2 linked regions of the Lepisosteus oculatus genome follow. The protein of the gene in region 1 purifies or fractionates together with the protein of each later gene. This does not show direct contact. Links are inferred from orthologs where the notes say so. Each region holds a gene or a part of one and is shown on either strand. Other genes may lie near its edges.

Region 1 (12,146 bases):
GTCAGTCAGTCGGACTCCCGGTGCGCAGCAGACCGATCCGCTCCGGGATCCGCAGCCCGTCAGTCAGTCGGACTCCCGGTGCGCAGCAGACCGATCCGCTCCGGGATCCACAGCCGGTCCGGATAAGACCCCGGGGACAGACGGCTACTGGACAGTCCTGCTCGAGACCAGCGGGACAGCGCCGGCTTCACTGCACGGTCCTGACTGAGGATTCGCAAGACCCTGTCCAGGGCGACCCAGCGGAAGCGACTGCGTGTCATCAGGACTCTCTCCGCGACCCCTGACCTGACCCCTGACCTTCAGGTGCTCCTCCCTGCCGAGGGAGAGAGCCACCTCCAGCTGCGTGTCCTCGGGGCCACACGCGGGGCCCGACTGCACAGACAGAGGCCAGGGGGGGCATCTTCACTACAGCTCCCAGCACCCTTACCAACACCGCTGCTGCCCCACCCTTCCCAGGCCCCCCTGCCCAAGAAAGGCATCATGGGAAGGGCATTTCATTTGGATTGACCTGATCTGCAAGGAAAAAGCCTGTGCTGACAGGCAAAACCATGAAGCACGGGCGGCAGTGTGCCAACAGATCGGTGAAAACTGCCAACAATATAGTCCCCAACACATTCTGCTTGGTAGACCTCAGCTCTCACTGACGCCCCACAAACACCCTGTCTCAAATCTCACTACACCTCCTAGCTGTGCCCAGCAGGGACCCTTAGCCTGAAGTGGCACTTAGGCTCAGTGCATAATGGGATTTGTAGGCAACTCAGTCAACCATAGCCCTGCTTCTGCCGAACACGCCATCACGAAAACTACAGCTCCCAGCATGCTTTATTCAGCACTCCCTTGTTAGGTCTCGGTGTCCTGGAAGCCTGAAGACCCAAGGGACAGTGACCCCGCCGACACAGAAAAGCACCATGGGAAGTGTAGTCTACCTGCTCGGCCTCCTCCTTGCTCATGGCCAGGGCCAGCTGGAGCTGCAGATCCTCCTCCCCCGAGCTCTGAGGCCACGCCTGCTCGGGATCGGCCCCGCCTCCGGGGCCTGGGGGGGCGGGGCCCAGGGAGGGCCCGCCCCCAAGGCCTGGCGCAGAGGGAGCAGAGGACGCTGGGGGAGAAAAGGAGGCGTTAACATAGGCGCTGAGAGAGAGGGGAGAGGGAAATGGGGTTCACTCCCCAGTACAGTCCTTAAACCACACTCCCATTCGGTCTGTCGAACTACAGCTCCCAGCATGCCCCACAACAGACCCCCTAACTGCTCCCCAAGAAACTACTGCCACCACACTTTTTGCTTTGCGACATAGTTCGCCCAGCGAACTACTCCTCCCAGTATGCCTCCCGCAAAGAAAGAACCAGAACCCATCTGGGAGTTGCATCTCTCAACCCTCATGCGGAATATAGTTAAGTGAAAAAGAGTGCACAAAAACTACAGTTCCCAGCATGCCTCAGGCCAGATGCTGCAGGGCTCTGCCTGAGCCTGCTGCCGAGAGCATGCTGGGACGTGTAGTCCCCTCACCGCTGGAGGTCTGGGCCATCTTCTCCTTGGTCTTGAGGGCGTGGACCCGCTCCTCGCGCAGGCGCTCCTCGTCCTTGAGCAGCGCCACCAGCTGCTTGGCCTTCTCGCGCACGTTCACGCCCTGGTCCTTGCCGTCGCGGTCCACGTACTGGAAGTCCTTCAGCGTCTGCACGGCGTAGATGTTCTCCCGGCACTGCTGGGCCACGCGCTCCGAGCCCGTCTTGATCAGGTACTCCATCAGGGTCATGGCCTGGCGGAGGGAGAGCGCGGCCCGTCACTGACCCCGCCCCCGTGACCTCTGACCCTTCGCTCATGTCTACCCAGACCGCCCCCCCGGAGCCCAGCGGGGCGAGCCTGGCCAGGACCTGCAGGGAGACTCCTGGGACAGCTCAGCCTGCTGCAGGGAGAGGTGTCAGTGGGGCCAGCAGGGGGCGCTCACCCAGTACAGTGACGGGGACACTAGACTGGAAACAGGCGCCGTCCTTCGGATGAGACGTCAAACCGAGGTCCTGACTCTCTGTGGTCATGAACAATCCTGGGGCGTCTCTCGAGAGGAGTAGGGGTGTTACCCCAGTGTCCTGGTCAAATTTCCCCCTGGTCTTTACCCGTCACGGCCTCCTAATAACCCCCCTCTCTGAACTGGCCCCATCCCTCTGCGCGTGGCGGCCGTGCCGGTGGGGGGACCCCAACACTGCTCACCTTGTAGACGTGGCGCCAGTTCTTGCCGTGGTCGTTGAGCCTCTTCCAAACCATGCTCATGATCTCCGAGAAGGCCACCACGTTGTAGGTCAGGTCGGCGATCTCCGACATCAGGGAGCTGGAGGGGCCCCAGGGGTCGTTGGAGGTCGCCTCGCGCACCTGCGAGAGGAGGGGGGGCGGTGCCACGTCAGCTCCTGTCCGCTGCCCCCCTGACTGGCCCCCCTGCTGAGACCCCGACTGACCAACTGACCCCTGAACGATCCAACCACTGAGCCCTTGACTGACCCACCCGCTGACCCGAACCCCCGCTGAGACCCTGACCGCCAGGGCACACCACCGCCCAGCCACTGACTAACACACCCCTTTGCCCACCCCTGACCCACCCACACCGTCGCCACGGAGACAGACTCACCTTGATCTCGGCCTCAGAGTAGTTGTGCACAATGTTTTTCACTTGTCGCCGTAGCGATGAGGTCGACATGGCAACCACCTGTCCGTCTGTCCTTGCCTCTGTCTAAAGAGAGACGCAGGCTGAGACAGAGACCTGGACACACACACACACACAGGGACACGCAGGGGGTGAATTCCCTCTCTCCTCCGCTCCCGTCAGGGGGATCCTCACCTGTGAAAGTCGAAGCTCGCAGTCTGTCTCGCTCGCTCTCTCTCTCTCTCTCCACGCGTTTACGGATCGCTGTGTCCCTGTCTGCCGGCCTCTCGCCTCGACGACATTGGTCCCGGAACCAAGCAATTGAAGTCACCAAACCCTGCAGGGGAAGGGAACCGCATTCAGCGCCGCACCATCGTTTGGGACTACAAAATTCTGGGAAATGTAGTTCCCACCCCCCGGCACTGCCAGCCTAGGCCCCAGTGACAGTTAGAGCCCTGAGCCTCACACTGTGGGCAGAGCAGGTCAAGAGTGCGAGGTGCACAGCGTCCAGACCCACACCGACCCACCCACTGCACCGCAGTCTGATCCTCTCCAGCTTCACAGCCCTACAGTCCCAGTGGGCAGCAGTCTGATCCGCTCCAGGTGTTGCAGTGTTGTTCCAGTCCCAGTGCGCAGCAGTCTGATCCGCTCCAGGTGTGACGGTGTTGTTCCAATCCCAGTGCGCAGCAGTCTGATCCGCTCCAGGTGTGACGGTGTTGTTCCAGTCCCAGTGCGCAGCAGTCTGATCCGCTCCAGGTGTGACGGTGTTGTTCCAGTCCCAGTGCGCAGCAGTCTGATCCGCTCCAGGTGTGACGGTGTTGTTCCAGTCCCAGTGCGCAGCAGTCTGATCCGCTCCAAGTGTGACGGTGTTGTTACAGTCCCAGTGCGCAGCAGTCTGATCCGCTCCAGGTGTGACGGTGTTGTTACAGTCCCAGTGTGCACCAGTCTGATCCGCTCCAGGTGTGACGGTGTTGTTACAGTCCCAGTGGGCACCAGTCTGATCCGCTCCAGGTGTGACGGTGTTGTTACAGTCCCAGTGGGCAGCAGTCTGATCCGCTCCAGGTGTGACGGTGTTGTTACAGTCCCAGTGGGCAGCAGTCTGATCCGCTCCAAGTGTGACGGTGTTGTTACAGTCCCAGTGTGCACCAGTCTGATCCGCTCCAAGTGTGACGGTGTTGTTACAGTCCCAGTGGGCAGCAGTCTGATCCGCTCCAGGTGTGACGGTGTTGTTACAGTCCCAGTGGGCAGCAGTCTCATCCGCTCCAGGTGTGACGGTGTTGTTACAGTCCCAGTGGGCAGCAGTCTCATCCGCTCCAGGTGTGACGGTGTTGTTACAGTCCCAGTGCGCAGCAGTCTGATCCGCTCCAGGTGTGGCGGTGTTGTTACAGTCCCAGTGCGCAGCAGTCTGATCCGCTCCAGGTGTGGCGGTGTTGTTACAGTCCCAGTGCGCAGCAGTCTGATCCGCTCCAGGTGTGGCGGTGTTGTTTCAGTCCCAGTGCGCAGCAGTCTGATCCGCTCCAGGTGTTAGTGTTGTTTCAGTCCCAGTGCGCAGCAGTCTGATCCGCTCCAGGTGTGACGGTGTTGTTACAGTCCCAGTGTGCAGCAGTCTGATCCGCTCCAGGTGTGGCGGTGTTGTTACAGTCCCAGTGTGCAGCAGTCTGATCCGCTCCAGGTGTGACGGTGTTGTTACAGTCCCAGTGTGCAGCAGTCTGATCCGCTCCAGGTGTCCCGGTGTTGTTACAGTCCCAGTGCGCAGCAGTCTGATCCGCTCCAGGTGTCCCGGTGTTGTTTCAGTCCCAGTGTGTAGCAGTCTGATCCGCTCCAGGTGTGACGGTGTTGTTACAGTCCCAGTGTGTAGCAGTCTGATCCGCTCCAGGTGTGGCGGTGTTGTTTCAGTCCCAGTGCGCAGCAGTCTGATCCGCTCCAGGTGTTAGTGTTGTTACAGTCCCAGTGTGCAGCAGTCTGATCCGCTCCAGGTGTGACAGTGTTGTTACAGTCCCAGTGTGCAGCAGTCTGATCCGCTCCAGGTGTGACGGTGTTGTTACAGTCCCAGTGTGTAACAGTCTGATCCACTCCAGGTGTGACAGTGTTGTTACAGTCCCAGTGTGCAGCAGTCTGATCCGCTCCAGGTGTGACGGTGTTGTTACAATCCCGGATCTGTGTGCCGATCCTGCACGATCAGACAGGACGCCCCTGTGACCCTGCAGGCGTCTCTGCTGGGAAGCCCCGGCACCCCAAAACACTGCTTCCCGAATCGGGGCGGGGATGGACCGATTTCCCAAAAGCCCCATGACCGGAGAGTCTCTCGCCCTGACACGTGCACGCGCCCAGCGGCTCCCTCGCGCCGAGGCACGCACACGCACGCGCGCCCATTGCCGCCCCCACCTCCCCGAGTCTCTGCCCCCCTCTCCCGCACGGTGACGGAGCAGGGCGCCCCCCGACACCCCCGCGCCCGCTTACCTGTCCCCGCCGGGCGCCTCAGCCGCGCTGCGCCATGGAGCCGCGCGTCAGGAGCGAGAAGATCCACAGGGGGGCGGCGGGACGGGCGGGACGCGACATCCACTCCTCTCCCCTCGGGCGTGACGGAGCCCAGCGGTCCCCGCTGCCGTGCGGCCTGATCGCTGACACCCCGGGCAAGCGCCGCCGCTCTGCTTTTATCGCGGCTCGGATCGGAACTGACCCTTCCAAGCCCCACTTCGCTGGGAACGGCAAGATGGCGCCACTTCCGCTTCCGCTTCCGCCCCCTGCCTCACGTGCCCCCCGGGTGGGCGGGGCCGGCTGCCCAGGGAGGGGTGGACGCGTAGATCACCGTGTAGGGCAGACATGCTTCTGCCATCTAAGAGCTCCTCTGCTGTAGATCGTACACACCAGCTTGCTCTTAGACTGCACAGGACGCACATGAGCTAGCTCTTACATTGAATAATATAGACAACTTGTAGCTCTTGTGCTGTATAATGCAGAGATCCTGTAGCCCTTATACTGCATCATCCTGACATCGGCTGGCTCTAAAACTGAATCGTTAAGATATCAGGGATCTCGTATACTGTTTAGTATAAACATTAGCTGGCTCTTATACTGTAAGTTAGCTCTTATACTGTGTAGTGTAGAGATCAGTGAGCTCTTATACTGTAGTGTAGAGATCAGCTAGCTCTTATGCTGCATATTATTGACATTGCACTCGTGTGCTGTAAACTGAAGTATGCTGAAGTATTTAACTGATAACGAGAGGGTCGATGTACAGCAGGCTACACCCTGCACTTATTGGACACACTGTATACACCCTGCCTGATACAGGTGGAGCATAAACTGGGTAGTGTTTATAATAATGCAATGTTTATCAGGTACAATTCAAGGATGTTCAAGTAACATACAACCATATACTTCCAATTCCTATCTATGGAACAGTCTGCAGGGCTCATGTATTACTTACAATACACTACTAGATTATACTATTAGATTATAGACTGTTGCCATACCGAACACAACCATGAATCAGAAAACATTGACATGGAGAGAGTTTACTTGTTTTAAAACAGCTAACTGTTTGAGGGAAACCATGAGTTTAACAATAAAGACAATATGCCTTCTTATGGAGAATTTTTCATTTACAAAACTGATACACAGAAGAGTTACAAAGTAAAAGATGGTCTGTTTTAAGTGCAACTGTTATTCACAAAAGCCACCACTAGAGGCACTGTATAAACACACCTGGAGCCCAGAGTCTTACTGAACACACTGTATACACACACACACACCTGGAGTCCAGACTCTTACTGGACACACTGTATAAACACACACCTGGAGTCCAGACTCTTACTGGACACACTGTATACACACACACACACCTGGAGTCCAGACTCTAACTGGACACACTGTATAAACACACACCTGGAGTCCAGACTCTTACTGGACACACTGTATACACACACACACACACCTGGAGTCCAGACTCTTACTGGACACACTGTATACACACACACACGCCTGGAGTCCAGACTCTTACTGGACACACTGTATACACACACACACACACCTGGAGTCCAGACTCTTACTGGACACACTGTATATATACACACACACACACCTGGAGTCCAGACTCTTACTGGACACACTGTATACACACACACACCTGGAGTCCAGACTCTTACTGGACACACTGTATACACACACACACCTGGAGTCCAGACTCTTACTGGACACACTGTATACACACACACACACCAGGAGTCCAGACTCTTACTGGACACACTGTATACACACACACACACCTGGAATCCAGACTCTTACTGGACACACTGTATACACACACACACACCTGGAGTCCAGACTCTCACTGAACACACTGTATACACACACACCTGGAGTCCAGTCTCTTACTGGACACACTGTATACACACACACCAGGAGTCCAGACTCTTACTGGACACACTGTATACACACACACACCTGGAGTCCAGACTCTTACTGGACACACTGTATATACACACACACACCTGGAGTCCAGACTCTTACTGGACACACTGTATACACACACACCTGGAGTCCAGACTCTTACTGGACACACTGTATACACACACACACCTGGAGTCCAGACTCTTATTGGACACACTGTATACACACACACACCTGTAGTCCAGACTCTTACTGGACACACTGTATACACACACACACCTGGAGTCCAGACTCTTATTGGACACACTGTATACACACACACACCTGGAGTCCAGACTCTTACTGGACACACTGTATATACACACACACCTGGAGTCCAGACTCTTACTGGACACACTGTATACACACACACACCTGGAGTCCAGACTCTTACTGGACACACTGTATACACACAAACACACCTGGAGTCCAGACTCTTACTGGACACACTGTATACACACCCACACACACCTGGAGTCCAGACTCTTACTGGACACACTGTATACACACACACACACCTGGAGTCCGGACTCTTACTGGACACACTGTATACTCACACACACACACCTGGAGTCCAGACTCTTACTGGACACACTGTATACACACACACACACCTGGAGTCCGGACTCTTACTGGACACACTGTATACACACACACACACCTGGAGTCCAGACTCTTACTGGACACACTGTATATACACACACACACACCTGGAGTCCAGACTCTTACTGGACACACTGTATACACACACACACACACCTGGAGTCCAGACTCTTACTGGACACACTGTATACACACACACACCTGGAGTCCAGACTCTTACTGGACACACTGTATATACACACACACACACCTGGAGTCCAGACTCTTACTGGACACACTGTATACACACACACACACACCTGGAGTCCAGACTCTTACTGGACACACTGTATACACACACACACACCTGGAGTCCGGACTCTTACTGGACACACTGTATACTCACACACACACACCTGGAGTCCAGACTCTTACTGGACACACTGTATACACACACACACACCTGGAGTCCGGACTCTTACTGGACACACTGTATACACACACACACACCTGGAGTCCAGACTCTTACTGGACACACTGTATACACACACACACACACCTGGAGTCCAGACTCTTACTGGACACACTGTACACACACACACACCTGGAGTCCAGACTCTTACTGGACACACTGTATACACACACACACCTGGAGTCCAGACTCTTACTGGACACACTGTATACACACACACACACCTGGAGTCCAGACTCTTACTGGACACACTGTATACACACACACACCTGGAGTCTGAAACCTTCTCATCACTGCGGCGATCCTGCTGACTGATGGGATGTGTCTCCAGGCTGCAGGCTGGCTGCCGAGAGCGAGAAGCAGAGCGTCCAGCTGGAGCCTTTCTGTCCATGAAGAGGTTCCCGGTCCCAGCCGGAGCCTCGCTGTGCAAGCGGAGCGTCTGTCCCAGCAGTCATTCCCGCCAAGCGCCTGCTGCCTCGCCTGCTCCTCCGGGGAGCGCTAGCGGGGCCGCGGAGGCGCTGAGAGGACCTCGTGTGTTGTGTTGGCATGGCGATGTCGGGGGCAGATGACCTCATGTGTTGTGTTGGCATGGCGATGTCGGAGAGAGATGACCTCATGTGTTGTGTTGGCATGGCGATGGCTGGCAGAGGCCCCCAGCTGTTACGGCTGTCAACGAGTAACGCTGTGCTGAAAGATCGGGGGGGCGAGGGGGGCAGGGAGAGAGATCGGGGGGCCAGGGAGAGAGATCGGGGGGCCAGGGAGAGAGATCGGGGGGACAGGGAGAGAGATCGGGGGGCTGAGAGATCAGGGGGGCAGGGAGAGATTGGGGGGGCAGAGAGAGAAGGATCAGGGGGCAGGGATAGAGATCGGGGGGCAGAGAGAGAGAGATCAGGGGGGCAGGGAGAAAGATTAGGGGGGGCAGAGAGAGAGAGATCGGGGGCCAGGGTCTGAGGGATCGGGGGGACAGGGAGAGAGATCAGGGGGACAGGGAGAGAGATCAGGGGGCAGAGAGAGAAGGATCAGGGGGACAGGGAGAAAGATTAGGGGGGGCGGAGAGAGAGAGATCAGGGGGCAGGGAGAGATCGGGGGTGCAGAGAGCGAGAGATCGGGGGGGCAGAGAGAGAGAGATCGGGGGGGCAGGGAGAGATCGGGGGGGCAGGGAGAGAGAGGCACTTTGAGTCAGAGTGGGCATTATCACACACAAACAGCACTCCGAGAGCCAGCGGAGAGAGAGGGGGGCGTGTGGTGGAGAGGGTGAAATATGACACACACTCGTGTCACCCAAGCATGTTAATTAGCACATGTTGTTATCTAATTAAGATTCCCTGCTCCTGCTGATTGAAACACAGCTCAATCCCTCAGGCTGGCTGACAGGGGCTCCGGCAGGAGGGACAGAGCCGGACAATATCTCCGGCGAGCCGAGGAGAGAGAGGCTGGGGCACGCGACAGCTCACAGCCAGCGGCTGCTGACAGAGAGACTGCAGAGCCAGAGGGAGAGAGCACAGCCTCACAGCTGCAGAGAGAGAGAGACAGAGTCCAGGAGACAGGGCAGGGACAGAGAGTCTCAGACAGAGCAGGGACAGAGAGTCTCAGACTGAGCAGGGACAGAGAGTCTCAGAGACAGAGCAGGGATAGAGAGTCTCAGACTGAGCAGGGACAGAGAGTCTCAGAGACAGAGCAGGGACAGAGAGTCTCAGACTGAGCAGGGACAGAGAGTCTCAGAGACAGAGCAGGGACAGAGAGTCTCAGAGACAGAGCAGGGACAGAGAGTCTCAGACTGAGCAGGGACAGAGAGTCTCAGACTGAGCAGGGACAGAGAGTCTCAGACAGAGCAGGGACAGAGAGTCTCAGACAGAGCAGGGACAGAGAGTCTCAGACTGAGCAGGGACAGAGAGTCTCAGACAGAGCAGGGACAGAGAGTCTCAGAGACAGAGCAGGGACAGAGAGTCTCAGACTGAGCAGGGACAGTGAGTCTCAGAGAAAGAAGAGGGACATAGATTCTCAGAGAAAGGACAGGGACAGACAGTCTCAGACAGAGCAGGGACAGAGAGAGGGACAGTCTGATCGGGGAGAGAGTTAGGCGTGTAGACGGGGGAATTGGGAAAAAACAGAAATAAATACAGACACAGATCTGTGTCTTCAAATTCAGTAAACAACTAGTTTCATAGAGACAAGAGAAACAGACAGGCAGACACAGAGAGAGTCAGGCACATACACAGACAGGAGAGAGAGACAGACAGGCTCTGATCCGGTGCCCATGGTTGTCTGAAGACTCTTCACAATGTCAGTAAGTCTTTTTCCTTTCGTTCATTTTCAGTACATTTTTGCGGGTTCCAGTAACTATTGGCTGAGCTGCAATTCCCCCGCTAAGCCTTCAGAAAACGAGGGGGCGCTCTTTCTCACCGGCCTCTCGCTCTTCGTCCTCCTCCTCTTCCTCAGTCAGCTGCAGACAAACTGGAGGAGCTGTGCCAGCTCACTGCCCAGTCCATGGCATCGCTGGAGATAGCGGATCACTTCCGGGTCGTGAAGCAGCTGGGTCAGGGGTCATACGGGAAGGTCATGCTGGCCATTCACAGGCAGAGAGGTGAGCTGTGTCCAGTCAGGGTCACTGTGCTGTAGTGTCCAGTCAGTCAGTGTCTCTGTGCTGTAGTGTCCAGTCAGTCAGTCAGGGTCACTGTGCTGTAGTGTCCAGTCAGTCAGTGTCTCTGTGCTGTAGTGTCCAGTCAGTCAGTCAGGGTCTCTGTGCTGTAGTGTCCAGTCAGTCAGGGTCACTGTGCTGTAGTGTCCAGTTGGTCAGTCAGTGTCCAGCTGGTCAGCTTGTTGCTGTATTGACCCTGTGTGGTGTCTCAGGGACCCCCATGGCTCTGAAGCTGTTCCCGCGGAGCTCCACGCCCCTGCCGGTGTTCCTGCGGGAGTACTGCCTGTCCCTGCGGCTCTGCTCCCACCCCTGCCTGGCGGGCGCGCTGGGCATCGTGTTCACCACGCCGCGCCTCTACGTCTTCGCCCAGCAGGCAGCGCTGTTCGGGGACCTGTACGACATCATCGTCCCCGAGGTGCGTCCCCCGCGCTCGCCTCCCCGCGGCCCCGCGGCGAGCCGTCCCCGGGGCGCCCCCCTTCACTGAACCCCCCATCTCCCGTCCCTCCCGCAGGTCGGGGTGCAGGAGGAGTGCGCCCAGCGCGTCCTGTCCCAGCTGGCCCAGGCCCTGGCCTACCTCCACGCCCTGGGCTTCGTCCACCGGGACGTCAAGCCCGAGAACGTCTTCCTGTGCGACGGGCCCGAGTGCCGCCTGGTCAAGCTCGGCGACTTTGGCCTGGCCCGCCCCCGGGGGTCGAAGTTCATGAGGACGGCCCACCCTTCCCCTTACTGTGCCCCCGAACTGAGCGGCGAGGCCGGGCCAGAGGAGGGGGCAGCGGGCGGGAGGGGGCGTGGCCGCCCAATGAGATGCAGGAGGAGAGGGGAGGGGGCGGAGCCGGAGGAGGGGCGGGGCGGAGACCGGCCAATGGCGAGAGGGAGAGGCGGGGACAGGGGCAGAGGGGGCGCGAGAGGGAACGAGGATCCCAGATCCTCCCTGCCGGAAAAGGACACGGAAGAGGCTGAGGCCGAGACGGGGCCGGGCGCCGCGCCGCCGGCAGAGGGCGCGAGAGAGGAAGAGGAAGGGAGGAGGAAGACGAGGGCGAAGAAGGAGTGGGCGACGGCGGAGCCCACCGTCGACAGCTGGGCTCTGGGGGTGCTGGTGTACTGTCTGCTGACTGGCTGCTTTCCCTGGGAGCAGACCTGCGCCTCGGACCCCCTGTACCGGCGCTACCGCCGCTGGTTCGAGGCCGAGGAGGGGGGGGGCAGGGAGAGGGCGTCCCCGGGGGGCCGATTTTACAACCCGTCAGCGGCGGAGAAACGGGCCGACAGCTCCACCCCAGTCGGGGGCCTCCCTGCGACGGAGGTGGGGGGGGAGCGGGGCCGGCGGCGGGGGGACCCCGAAATCGAAATCGTCCCCCCGCAGTTCGTCGGCTTCACGCCTCTGGCTCTGGCCCTC
Region 2 (11,274 bases), on another chromosome or scaffold:
GGGGTTTCTGAGAACGACTGCATGTGCCCTGTGATGGACACTGAGCCTGTTGCTTCCCTGTGAGCCCGAACTGAATGAAGCACTGGGGGGATTTTCCTCTCGAAAGACTGCTTCTCCCAAATGGCAAAATACTGTACCACTAATGGAAGATATTAGAATCTGAAAATCCACAAAATATTTAACCAGAATAAAAATATATAATTTCTCTGACTTTTATATTTGTGGACCAATTAATGTGTTTCATCACTTTACGTAACCAGTAGGTGGTATATACTTTCTTTAGCAAATAATGATAATGAATTACAAAGATAAAAACACTGTAGGTATGAATAGAATCAAATATTTTAAGATGTTTAATATATTCTGTAGGGATTCACATTCTTATATCACGTCAAACTGCAATGTTTCAAATGAAAATATAATAAATCTGGATATATAAACTCATGAGATAATAAGATGTTGTGTTTGTGAGCAGGCTGTTTGGACCACCTAGCCCAAACAAACTCAAGTAGTTAGCAGCTAACTGGTCCAAGGATCTCATCCAGCCTCTCTGTGAAAAATTAGGGGTATCAGGGGAGTCCCCATTACCAGTAAAGCGCTTTGAGTGGAGTGTCCAGAAGAGCGCTATATAAGTGCAAGGAATCATTATTATTATTGTTATCTGAAACAGTCCCAGTTTCTCTGTTTTGACCCTTGATGGCACTGCAGTATGATACTCACGTCCACAAACACATCCAGGCCTGCACCCCCACACTGGCCAGACTCCAGGGCACGCAAAAGGGCTCCTTCATCAATAATGCCCCCGCGGGCACAGTTAACCACCTTCACACCTTTCTTGCACCTCGCAAAGGTGGTGTCATTTAAGAGCCCTCGGGTGAATGAAGACAACAGTTAATCACCTCATCTTAGCACACATCGCTCTTTTGTTTATCCCATGTCTGCAGACTGAAACAGAGATCTCCACACATACTTAAATCACCTGCTCATCAGTTAGGGTAAATTCTAAATATTTACATTTTTTAAAAAGAAAGAGAATGTCTGCAAGAAAAAAACCTGATACTTTAAAAAGCAGAATTATATGAAAAAAACAACAATGATTATTCCTTCTTGGACAAATATACCCAACTAATTAATTGTTCTCGTCTTGTCAGAGAAGCGTATTTTGTTTTTAAATCGTTTTCTAGCCCCTCTTCAAACAAATCATTTTACTTGCCAGTTACTGAGGCAAGATTCAGAGGAATTGAAAAGCAAAAGACGTTGGATTCATTTCAAACATAGAATTCTCTGTCCTTAATGACAGACACTGTTGCGCACATAGGATCATCTACATACAAACTCACCAGTGGTAGAAGGCATTAATGGTGTGTGCACTGTGATATAGTCACAAAGAGGCCACAGCTGCTCCAGGGACATCTGCTCGACTCCAAATGTTGCAGTAACTTCTGGAGGAATGATGGGATCATAGCCAACAGTCTACCGACACAAAAATGCGGTAATTCAAAACAAGCCCTTCTTAAGCGATAGCTATCACAACGAAACTTGGGGGAAAAAAACATTACGCGCAGTACCAGAACACATTACATTTCACTTTCAATGTTGTAAAAGCAGCAGCAGCTGTACATTTGCCTCTACAATGGATATCACACGAAAACAGATTAAAAAAATAAATCGACCTTCATGCCAAAAGACTGCATTCGAAGGGCCACTTCCTTTCCAATTCTTCCAAGGCCAACAATTCCAAGGGTTTTTCCATACAGCTCGGAGCCCATAAACTGTGAAAATATCACAACAACACAACAATCCCGTCAAAGACACTACGGTCCAGGAACTCTAAACACGAACTAAAAATACACAGTTGGAAATACTGAGCTAGAAGAGGCAACCTATGAGAACAAAACAGGAGGTTATGCTGACACCTCACGTGATTCTTCTAGACACTGTGGTAAAAGCAAGTAAAATGGTAAAAAAAATGCAAGACTATATTCTTAAAAGTCTAAAATTGTAATCAAACTAGTAAGGCCTCTGTTAGTGTACGACTTTGGTCAATACATTTTAGAAAAGGTGCAGTACTGTTGCTCTGAAATCAGTGCAAAGAAGAGCAAACCAGAAACATTCTGGAGTTTATGGTCCTACAGTGAACAGTCTTGAACAAAGGAGTCAACAAGGAGACCTGATACAAGTGTTCAGTATCCTCAGAGGCCCTGACAAAGCCAGTCCAGCTGAATGTGAACAGTGAAATGCATACCAGAGGACAGAAGCAGAAACTACCTGCATTTACTGTGAACAGGAGGCGCGGCTTTACCCAAAGGGTTGTGGGAGTGTGGAACAAGTTGCCCAGTCATGTTGTTAATGAATGTGGTTTCTTTCAAGAAACAGCCAGAAGAGATTCTTGCACCAGTTAGCTACCAGCTACCAAATTGGCTGAATGGCTGAATGGCCTCCTCTTGTTATAACTGTTCTAACTCCCATGATTGAATGGGTATCATGGGAGCCCAAGCATTAGAAAACATTCTGCATGAAAAACAATCTCATCTCAATCTGTCATTCCAAGCTTACCTTCTTACGGTCCCAGTTCCCAGATTTCATGGACATAGCTGCCTGTGGGATGTGTCTGGAAAAGGAATATTTCTAAGTTACCTTTTGATATGTATACCTTATACTGCAAGAAAATGCTTTAAGTTTGTTCATTTATATCAATGGATACTGGATTCAAAGGACTCTTGAAAGTCCATTTAATGTCCTCCAGTGTTCCACATAAGGCATTCAACTTTGCTTCAGCAAAGCTGTGCACTACAAAAAAAACGAAAATATGGTAAAGCACATGTGTGTCTCACCTGGAAAGACACATCACCATCCCACAGGTGAGTTCTGCAGCACTGATGGTGTTTCCGCTAGGGGTACTGAAGAAACAGCAAGTCAGGATTGTGAAATATCTCATACTCAAATTGCATAGAATTTCACAAAAATCAGGAACAAATTAGGGAATATTTTCATATGCTACTAAATGAAAAGGAAAGGCAAATTATCTCAAGCAAACGTAGAAACGCGTATTTCCAAATCACCATGCAGCTGACGTGTATTCTACATAAATTGCAGTAAACGTAGCAGTCGGCGCTAACACAGATGTTTTTCTTACTTCATGACAATAATGCCCTTCTTAGTAGCAGCGTCTACGTCCACGTTGTCGACACCAGTCCCAGCCCTGCCGATAATCTTCAGTTTGCTCGCGGCGTTGATGACTTCTGCTGTCACTTTTGTCGCCGAACGAACTATCAGCCCTTCATAGTCCTGAAGAAAGAAAACATGTTCAAGGTAATGAAAAAAAGAACACTAATTCTAAGATTCTTTAAACTGCAGTAACCCTAATTAAGTCTGGGTTAATTAAATCCCAGGAGCACAACTTTTAAACATTGCCGTGAGCGTTGCTTTAGAATAAAATGCAATAAGTGATCATTTTGAATTCAGAACCTAGTAGAAGTTGAGATTTAATATGGAGTGTATAAAAAAAACAGTCCCCGATGCTGGATGAGGGGATTTCAGTCACTATCTGGTTCTGTAGATCCTTCTGTAGAACAGTCACCTGACAAAGCAAGACTGTATTTACAAAATACAGCTGAAACTCAACAACTGAACACATTTGTAACCATATCACCTGTCTAGTGCACCTATGCAGACCCCCCACACGCAAAAAAACCCCAACAACACATGTCCTTACAGTTTTGCAGTGGTCAAGCCAAACCAATCACCTGACGCGAAACCACTGAGCGCAACATAACGGTCACCGTCAACGGTGCCAATAGTGGCTCCAATCACAGCTAAAAACTGTTAATTAGTGCCTTAATTAACAGAGCACTGCATTAAAAATGCAAAACTTTGCAAAGCCATTTTATGATTTATAACAATCCAGAATTAATTGGTATACATTAACATTAACGAAGTACAAAAATAAAAACTAATCTAACTGTAGTTTAGAAAGATTGTAATTATTTTTTATTATACTGTAAAACCTTAAAGCAAACATTGAAAATAAAAAAAATAGCGTATAAAATATTTTGTATTACTGTTAAAAATCTTTTGCATTACTGTTACAAATGTGGCATGACCAGAGTTTAGGGAGCTGAAACACACAGGTGCTGTTGCATCAGAAAACATGATGAAGGCGGCGCTTCCTAGCAACTTGGAATTAACTTTATAAAAAGAGCTTTGGGACTTGAATTGGGAATCCAACAGTGCCAAATTCACGACAACAGCCGGAGCAAATCCGTTGCGTCATTTTTCAAAACTTGGTCATCGGTATTAGAAAAGTAAATTTTACCTCTAATTCTTTTTATTAATACATCCCCAAAACACACGATTTGGTTATTTTTCGTTGTCTTAAAACAGACACGTTCAATAATAAATCAATAATTTATTAAGATGAATTGAGCTTCGTGAATAAATATATTTGCATTAAAACAAAACAAAATGTACTCCCGGTCTTGCATTACATGCCGGGATGCCACGCACCCTTGAGATTTCATTCTGCTCCTACCTTGATTTCAGCGATCAGTTCCTCCTTGCTCATATTCTGTTTCGCTGTCACATCAATTCCATTTTCTTGCAAAATCTGTTTGCAACATGGATCGACACTCTCGCTAATTAAAAGCCGTTGGATGGACACAAGAGCCATTTTGCAGCACCGTCAGAGCTGGAGAGACAAGGCTTCACAAATGAATGGACTCTTTCTGTAACTTGATGCGGAGAAGGGGGACCTTCAGAATTGTCCCAGTTCTTTTTACATTTCAAGCACGGACTGCCCCCTTATGACTGTGAACAGCCCCGCCTCTTCAAGCTTCTGCTGGAGCAAAGCCAAAGATGTGAGTTTTCCCAAAAAAAAAACAACAACTCGGGGACGTTTTGGGGAATTCGTCATTAATAGCATTTTGTTTGAACTTAAGTTGTAATTTCAATTGCTCCCCTTTTGCATTGTTTTAAAAATCTTTTTTTTCAAGCGATTTTGACCCTCCTATACTGTACATGTACACTCTATACCGTGTATTTCCATAGTACTCCGCTACGCATGAGTTGTTTTTAGAAAAAAAATAAAACGTACATTAATTGACTAAATGTCTCTGGCGTCGTTTTCATGACTTGATCATTCGCGACGCCGTTGTGATACATTCCAGTGCTTTGGTCTGCTGCATTATTCTGGTCAGACCGGGACCGTGATGTGGTTGCACAACTAAACACTATCACAAGTCAGGTCAGGTCTAACTAGTGTTTTATATGAGAAAGCAGCACAGGGCTCTGTGGGAACTGAGTGCTTAAATTACCACTCCCCAGCTTCACAGAGGAATACTGATGCAACAAATGACAAATGGGGTGATGCCGACGGAGTTGAGGGATGTGATAAAGAATGCAGCACCCACATCAGCAATGGGACCGTGTGCAGGCAACGGCACCCCCTAGGCACAAGGACATCGTGGGGCAAACACAGCAGGGAAGAGGGGGGCTTAGGTCTAAGAGCTAAAAGATTCGCCTGGCACAAGTCTTCACCATCGTCACAATGGAGTCTGGTCGTAAAAGAAGGGTGCTATCAGGAGGAGGCCTCCAGGTGCCCCAGGGCTGTCTCTCAGGCCGAGAAGGGGCAGTGGATGGAGTGGGAAAGAGTGGAGAGGAGGAGGATCAGCTTGATCAACTAAATAAATATACACTTTATGTAGCGTCTTCAAAGGTGGCTTCTCGAAGCGCTTAAAATGGCTGATGTGAAAAAATAAGAGATCGTTTAGGCCTAAAGTCTTTAGCCCTTGAGGACCAGAGTTCTCAGATTACAGCGCGTGCTCGATTTGTCGATAGTTCACTGGTGATCCCAGCTTTTAAAAACAGGTGACCTATAAGACTGACTGCACTGGGGCTCCAGTTAGCACTTTTGAAAGATCTTCTGTTGATGACTTACTGTAGGTTGCCCAGCCATGTAATAGATGCCCTTACCCTGGCCTCTTTCAAGAAAGAGCTGTATGAGACACTCGGATCAATGAGCTACCAAATTTGGCCAGATGAGCTGAATGATCTCCTTCTATTTGTAAACTTTCTTAAAGAACATAAAGATTCTGTCCCTCAATGACATTAGGAGTTTAGAATATATACAGGGGTTTAGCTTAGCATAGCCACAGAGACATAAGAGTACTAAGAAGGAAAACAAGAATTCCCATGTGAGAGTAATTTCATTTATTCAACCAAAGGTAATCAACATATGTGCACAAAAGGGGATCAGGGGTTACTGGACCAAATGAACAACAGTACCATATAGAAACATAAATAGAACATCAAATAAAATTATCTATGGTGTGCAACACGAGGAAAGCAATTAAACTCATTAGGAACAAGTAAAATTCTATTCCATGCTGAAAAGAGAAGAAAAGAAATACGTTTTGGCTCTGGAGCCTTCTTCAAGTGTGTGGCAAAAACATTGTCTTTATTTTCTTCTCTTTTCAGCATGGAAAAAAAAAACCTTTACTTGTTCCTTTGCAGCCTACACATGCTGACGCAGCCACCTACTTGAACTCCATCAAACTCATTAGTTCAAGATCTGGTTCCACAATTCTGTCAAATTCAGGTATATAGGGGAAAACAACATAACTTTAAAGTGCAACTCTGGCTGATGTACTACAGGTATATAGTCACAACACAGTCATATACCAGCACTACAACAAGGAGTCACAAAAAAAGTGCAATTCCAGGTACAAAATAAAAAGATACTTTGTACTACGAGGCCAAGTGCAGTGAAGAATGGATGAAAGAAACCTTCGTCAGACGTTACAAAAGGCACATGCCCTCCATGTGCATTCAATTCCAATGGCACATGACTGGTAATTTCATTTTCTTTAAGGCAAGCAGAAAGAACACATTTGTCTGCGGTGCATAGCACATTTTGGAGTAACAAACCTAATGTCCAAACTAAACAGGGGGGACTCATAACTAAGCAGTCATACCTGTGAAATGCTGAAGATGAGTGCAAGGAATGGAAAATATTTTAAGTCTCTCTTGAATGTCTCTGCCTCTGCACCACATATGTAACTGTGTGATCTTCAAGATGCCTTCTACAATCACCTCTATAAGTACCTTCAGTGTTAAAACAAAGCAGGGTATTGTGAATGGCATTTTAAAGGGTTTTCTGAATATTTGTCCACTTAAATATGTTTTACAATTTACATCTTAACCAATTATCAATCTTTTGTTGGTGCTTCTTAAGATTTTAGAGCACATAAAATAAAGACCCTTGTGGAATTTTCCCTTGACTTTTATATCCACTCGCACACTTGAGTGCAATCTCATCACTAACTGGGACACTGAAGACTCTAAATTATGAATTCTTCTGCAGGTATTGGTCACTTGGTTATTTGCGCCACAAGGAAACCCTGTACAGTTGGGAAAAATCTTATTAAATATACTTCTAAGAAAACTGGAGAAAAAAAAACAATGACGAAAGACGTAATGCACTGTTTATTTTGAAAAACATACAATTATACTGTAATTCATTAAAAGATCAACTTGTGTGCCTTTCAAAATACACTTTGAAGCGTGGCTTTCGTCCCTAGTCTGTATGAGAGTTAATACACGATTTTCAATTCGTTTGCAAGATTAACAGTACAGCATTGTTGCTGTATTTAATACTGATCTAAATGTGATGAAATGTAAATATGTCATGTACATGCGTAACCAAATAAGTTCTCCATAGCCAAGTGCCAGGGGGATCAGAAACGCAACTAGGGACATTTCCGTGACACGTTCAAATGTTAAAACAAAAAAACACCACCGGCATCAACGACGGCACAACCATCAGGGGTAAAGAATGAAGCAGCGTGATGGCAGGACTATTTCACAGAGGAACTGATTTCCTTGAGGATGTCAAGCCCGCTGGACCAGACCACGACTTGCGCTTTCAGGACGCTCGGGGTCCGCGCGTTGGCGGCCAGCTGTTTGTCCAGCGTGTAGCCCTTTCGTGGCATAACGGTGTCCCCTTCCGTCAGGCTCTTCGCGGGACAGAGGTCATTCCCGCCGTCGCCAGCGTAAACCGTGCGCCGGTACCGCACACCTTCGCGCAGCTGGCTCGCCAGAAAGTCCTCCAGCGCTTTTCTTTTGCACAGGTTCACCGGGCAGTGCGCGCAGCCGTGCGAGTGGAAGCACCGCACCGCCAGGCGGCCGCGCTCGTCGAACCAGGCGGGGTTGGTGAAGACCCTGTCCACCGCCCCCTGGACGTTGGACGCCCGTAAAATCCAGTCGATGAACACGGTGTTGGAATCTGAAATGATGATGCAGTCGATGGCGTCTTTGTTTTGAGCAACGAAGCTAAGAACTTCCATCATCCCGTGTGTGAAAGGGATAGTTTCCATCAGACTCCTCATTTCCGCCTCGCTGACACCCAGGTCACCGATGTAAGACAACACCCGACCCATGTATTCAGTCCAGCGACCTTTTTGGTAGGTTTTTACCAGCCAGTCCGGCAGGCGTTGCTCCGGCACGCACCTGACCACCCAAGTGTCACTATTGTCGTCCACCACCGTGTGGTCGAAGTCGAACACTACAAGAGCTTTCATCGTCCGCTGCAGACTGAGAAGCGAGAAGCGAGAAGAGTCCTGTTCCCAAAACAGAAATCAAACGTAAGTCTTGGTGCAAATGCGTTGGGGGGTGCATTAAAAAATACAATATTATAGAATTTCATGACCTGCTTTGATTTGAAAATCTATGCCCTATATATCACCTGATCTGTACACAGTGTTCTAAATATAGATAAAGGCACCATGAGTACAGCTTTTCACCTGGCGACAGATCAAAAAACATTAATGCTTCAGCACTTTTAGCGATCATGCCGATCTGACACGTTTCTAAGCACAGTGCTAGAGATCTGAAAATATTCGCACCCAAATGAAAGCTATTTTCCATCTACAAATAACATTGTTGTGTAACGCGTGACATTCTAATCGTGTCACCCCGACAACACCCCGAGCATTTGAAAATCACATCGCTAGGTTTTAGGAAACAACCCCATAAAGAGATACATAAAGGAATTTAGAATGAGTTTCTCGAAGTAAACAGAAAACGATAATTACCAGTTTAAAGCAGCATCTATACTGCTTATCACCGCACTACACCTTTCTCTCAAAGAGCTCGCCGGTTGCATTCGTCACTGGTTCTTTCACATGTTCTGCACTCTGATTGGTCACGTTTACTTTATTGTAGGTCAAGGTTTATGGAAACCCGGATGCAGAAAACTTCCGGTGAAGTAATTCACGTGACTATAGCCAGGTCTTATAGCTCCACCTTTGTTCCTGCGACTTTATCCTGATTGGGTTATGACTTCGTTGCCTAGCGACACATTGTCATCAATGCATTAGGTCTTCAGTTGCTAGGTCGCCGTGTAAGGTGTTAGTAGTTGGCTTTCGTCTGTGTTTTTTGTTTTTAATGCAGGTGTATTCTCGGGAAATGGTTAAAGTTGTCAAAAAACTGAGACAAAACCTGTTGTAGAATGGCGACAGTTTCCGCGTCTGTTGTGCAGTACGGCAGGCGAAAAGGGAGTGACAAAAATGTCACATGTGAGTTAAAAGATTATTTTCAGCTAACCAATTCAGTCTGCTTCTACTGCAGATCAGTATTTCTACTTCTGAAAAGGTTAAGATGCCTGTCTGTCTTATATTTTTTTCACACGAATTAAAAAAAAAAGTTTCCTGACTCTTGAGAAGCATGAATATCAGTTCATACAATTTCCTATTCATGTTGTGAACATGTAAACGTTGTACAGGAAGGTAAGTAAAATCTTGGCATCTGACAGCCTTCCTATCATTTGACTCTAGCACTGGGTACAAGAGATGGGGCAGATCTGCCCGTGCGTCTCCCGGATCTCCGCCAAGTCAAGGTTTTGCCCAAAGCGGAGTGGCTCAGGATTCAAGACAGCCTCCACAGCGTGAACAGGGAGCTGGAACTGATCCAGGAGAGGAAGAAGGAGCGAGAGGCTCTGCACCAGCGCTCCAAAGAAGTGGTGAAAAACTGGTCTAATACCATTGCTGTGAGTCACCTGACGTGTGTCTTTATTGTGATCTGCTTACAAGAAGTGACACCCCTCAGTGATTTAGCATTGTGGCCCTACAGTGCTGAGACCCTGGGTTCAGTTCCTGCTGGGCTGCTGTCTTTGTGGAGTTTGTATTCACTTGGGTTTCCTCCCACAGTCCAAATCCATACCATACTGCTAAGTTAATTGGCTTCTGGGACAAATTGGCCTGGAAAAAAATTGTCTGTGTGTGTTTGCCCTGCAATGGACTGGCAGCACATCCAGGGTGTGTCCTGTCTTGTGCCTGTTGCTTGCCAGGTTAGGCTTCAGCTGCCCCACGAGCCCTGTATTGGATGGATGTGAGAGGAATTACAGCACAAAACAATCAAGAGGGCTAAATATGCCTCTTCTTATGTGTATCCTCATGTTCCCCAAACTGCTGGAGTAGGAATATCAGCCTCATATTTATAGAATTGGAAATGATGTGCAGTATCATTGGATGTATCCTCAAATCTGCTGGAATATATGAAGTTTAAAGTTTGCTCTTAAGAAGGCTTTATCGTAACACCTATGCTTATTGGTCGGATTTGCAGGGTCAAAGGCAAAAGAAGATTGAAGCCAAGAAACTGCGAGAAGAAATTGAAGAAGAGGAGAAGAGGCAGATTGATTTGGAAGAGGCTCAGTACCAAGCTGAGAGGAGAAAGGAAGCCATTGAAAAAGCAAAGTCCCAACAGTATTACCAGACGGACCGAGTGAAAAGATTTCATGTGTGTTTTCTCTTTTGCCATTCCTTCGTGGAATCTTTAGCCGTGCGAGGTGCACAACCGTATAAAATTGCATTGCTTCTGCTGCTTATATTACAGTATATTAATTATCCCCATGACGTATTTCTCATCTGTGGAGACTGGATATGGTTATCTTTGGTGGGTTGGAAATATGATAAAATGGGAATTATTTCGCTTTTAAAGAGGAACGTTGTGATGCAATGTGATTCTGTCTCAATTCACAGAACACTGTAAGGGTCACTGTAAAGAACCGTTTAAAATCTGTGTCCCACGTCTGTGCTATTTTCAGGAAAGTAGAAAGTACAGTTCAATTTCCATATCAAAGAATTTCCTTTAATTTTTGTTTTCAGAGTGCTCTCTTGCTGACTGAGATTCTGAAGGAGAGGGAAGCCCAGATCGAGCTGAAGCAGAAGAAGATGAATGCAACTAAAGACATGGACAAAGACATAATGGCTCAGATTCTGC

What was found.
Region 2: the proteins of epn1a (region 1) and phgdh purify together in Homo sapiens (affinity purification with mass spectrometry; 3 studies listed by BioGRID and IntAct, with this or other methods). This does not show direct contact. The link is inferred for Lepisosteus oculatus from reciprocal best matches to the Homo sapiens genes EPN1 and PHGDH.

Annotation. Positions count from the first base shown.
Region 1 is NC_090718.1:1,391,882-1,404,027, reverse strand, and holds the start of epn1a (epsin-1), read right to left. Parts: upstream 5,399-12,146; 5' UTR 5,091-5,398; intron 2,968-5,090; 5' UTR 2,826-2,967; intron 2,718-2,825; 5' UTR 2,685-2,717; coding exon 2,616-2,684; intron 2,363-2,615; coding exon 2,204-2,362; intron 1,755-2,203; coding exon 1,505-1,754; intron 1,097-1,504; coding exon 927-1,096; intron 1-926. Other genes in the region: uncharacterized serine/threonine-protein kinase SBK3, read left to right, coding at 10,397-10,402, 10,555-10,699, 10,966-11,168, 11,265-12,146. UniProt on the Homo sapiens protein: Binds to membranes enriched in phosphatidylinositol 4,5-bisphosphate (PtdIns(4,5)P2). Modifies membrane curvature and facilitates the formation of clathrin-coated invaginations. Regulates receptor-mediated endocytosis.
Region 2 is NC_090707.1:15,882,365-15,893,638, reverse strand, and holds the start of phgdh (D-3-phosphoglycerate dehydrogenase), read right to left. Parts: upstream 5,197-11,274; 5' UTR 4,670-5,196; coding exon 4,532-4,669; intron 3,289-4,531; coding exon 3,137-3,288; intron 2,901-3,136; coding exon 2,835-2,900; intron 2,612-2,834; coding exon 2,557-2,611; intron 1,773-2,556; coding exon 1,674-1,772; intron 1,474-1,673; coding exon 1,341-1,473; intron 870-1,340; coding exon 721-869; intron 1-720. Other genes in the region: pyridoxal phosphate phosphatase PHOSPHO2, read right to left, coding at 7,854-8,576; cfap210 (cilia- and flagella- associated protein 210), read left to right, coding at 9,506-9,572, 9,831-10,042, 10,618-10,791, 11,160-11,274. UniProt on the Homo sapiens protein: Catalyzes the reversible oxidation of 3-phospho-D-glycerate to 3-phosphonooxypyruvate, the first step of the phosphorylated L-serine biosynthesis pathway.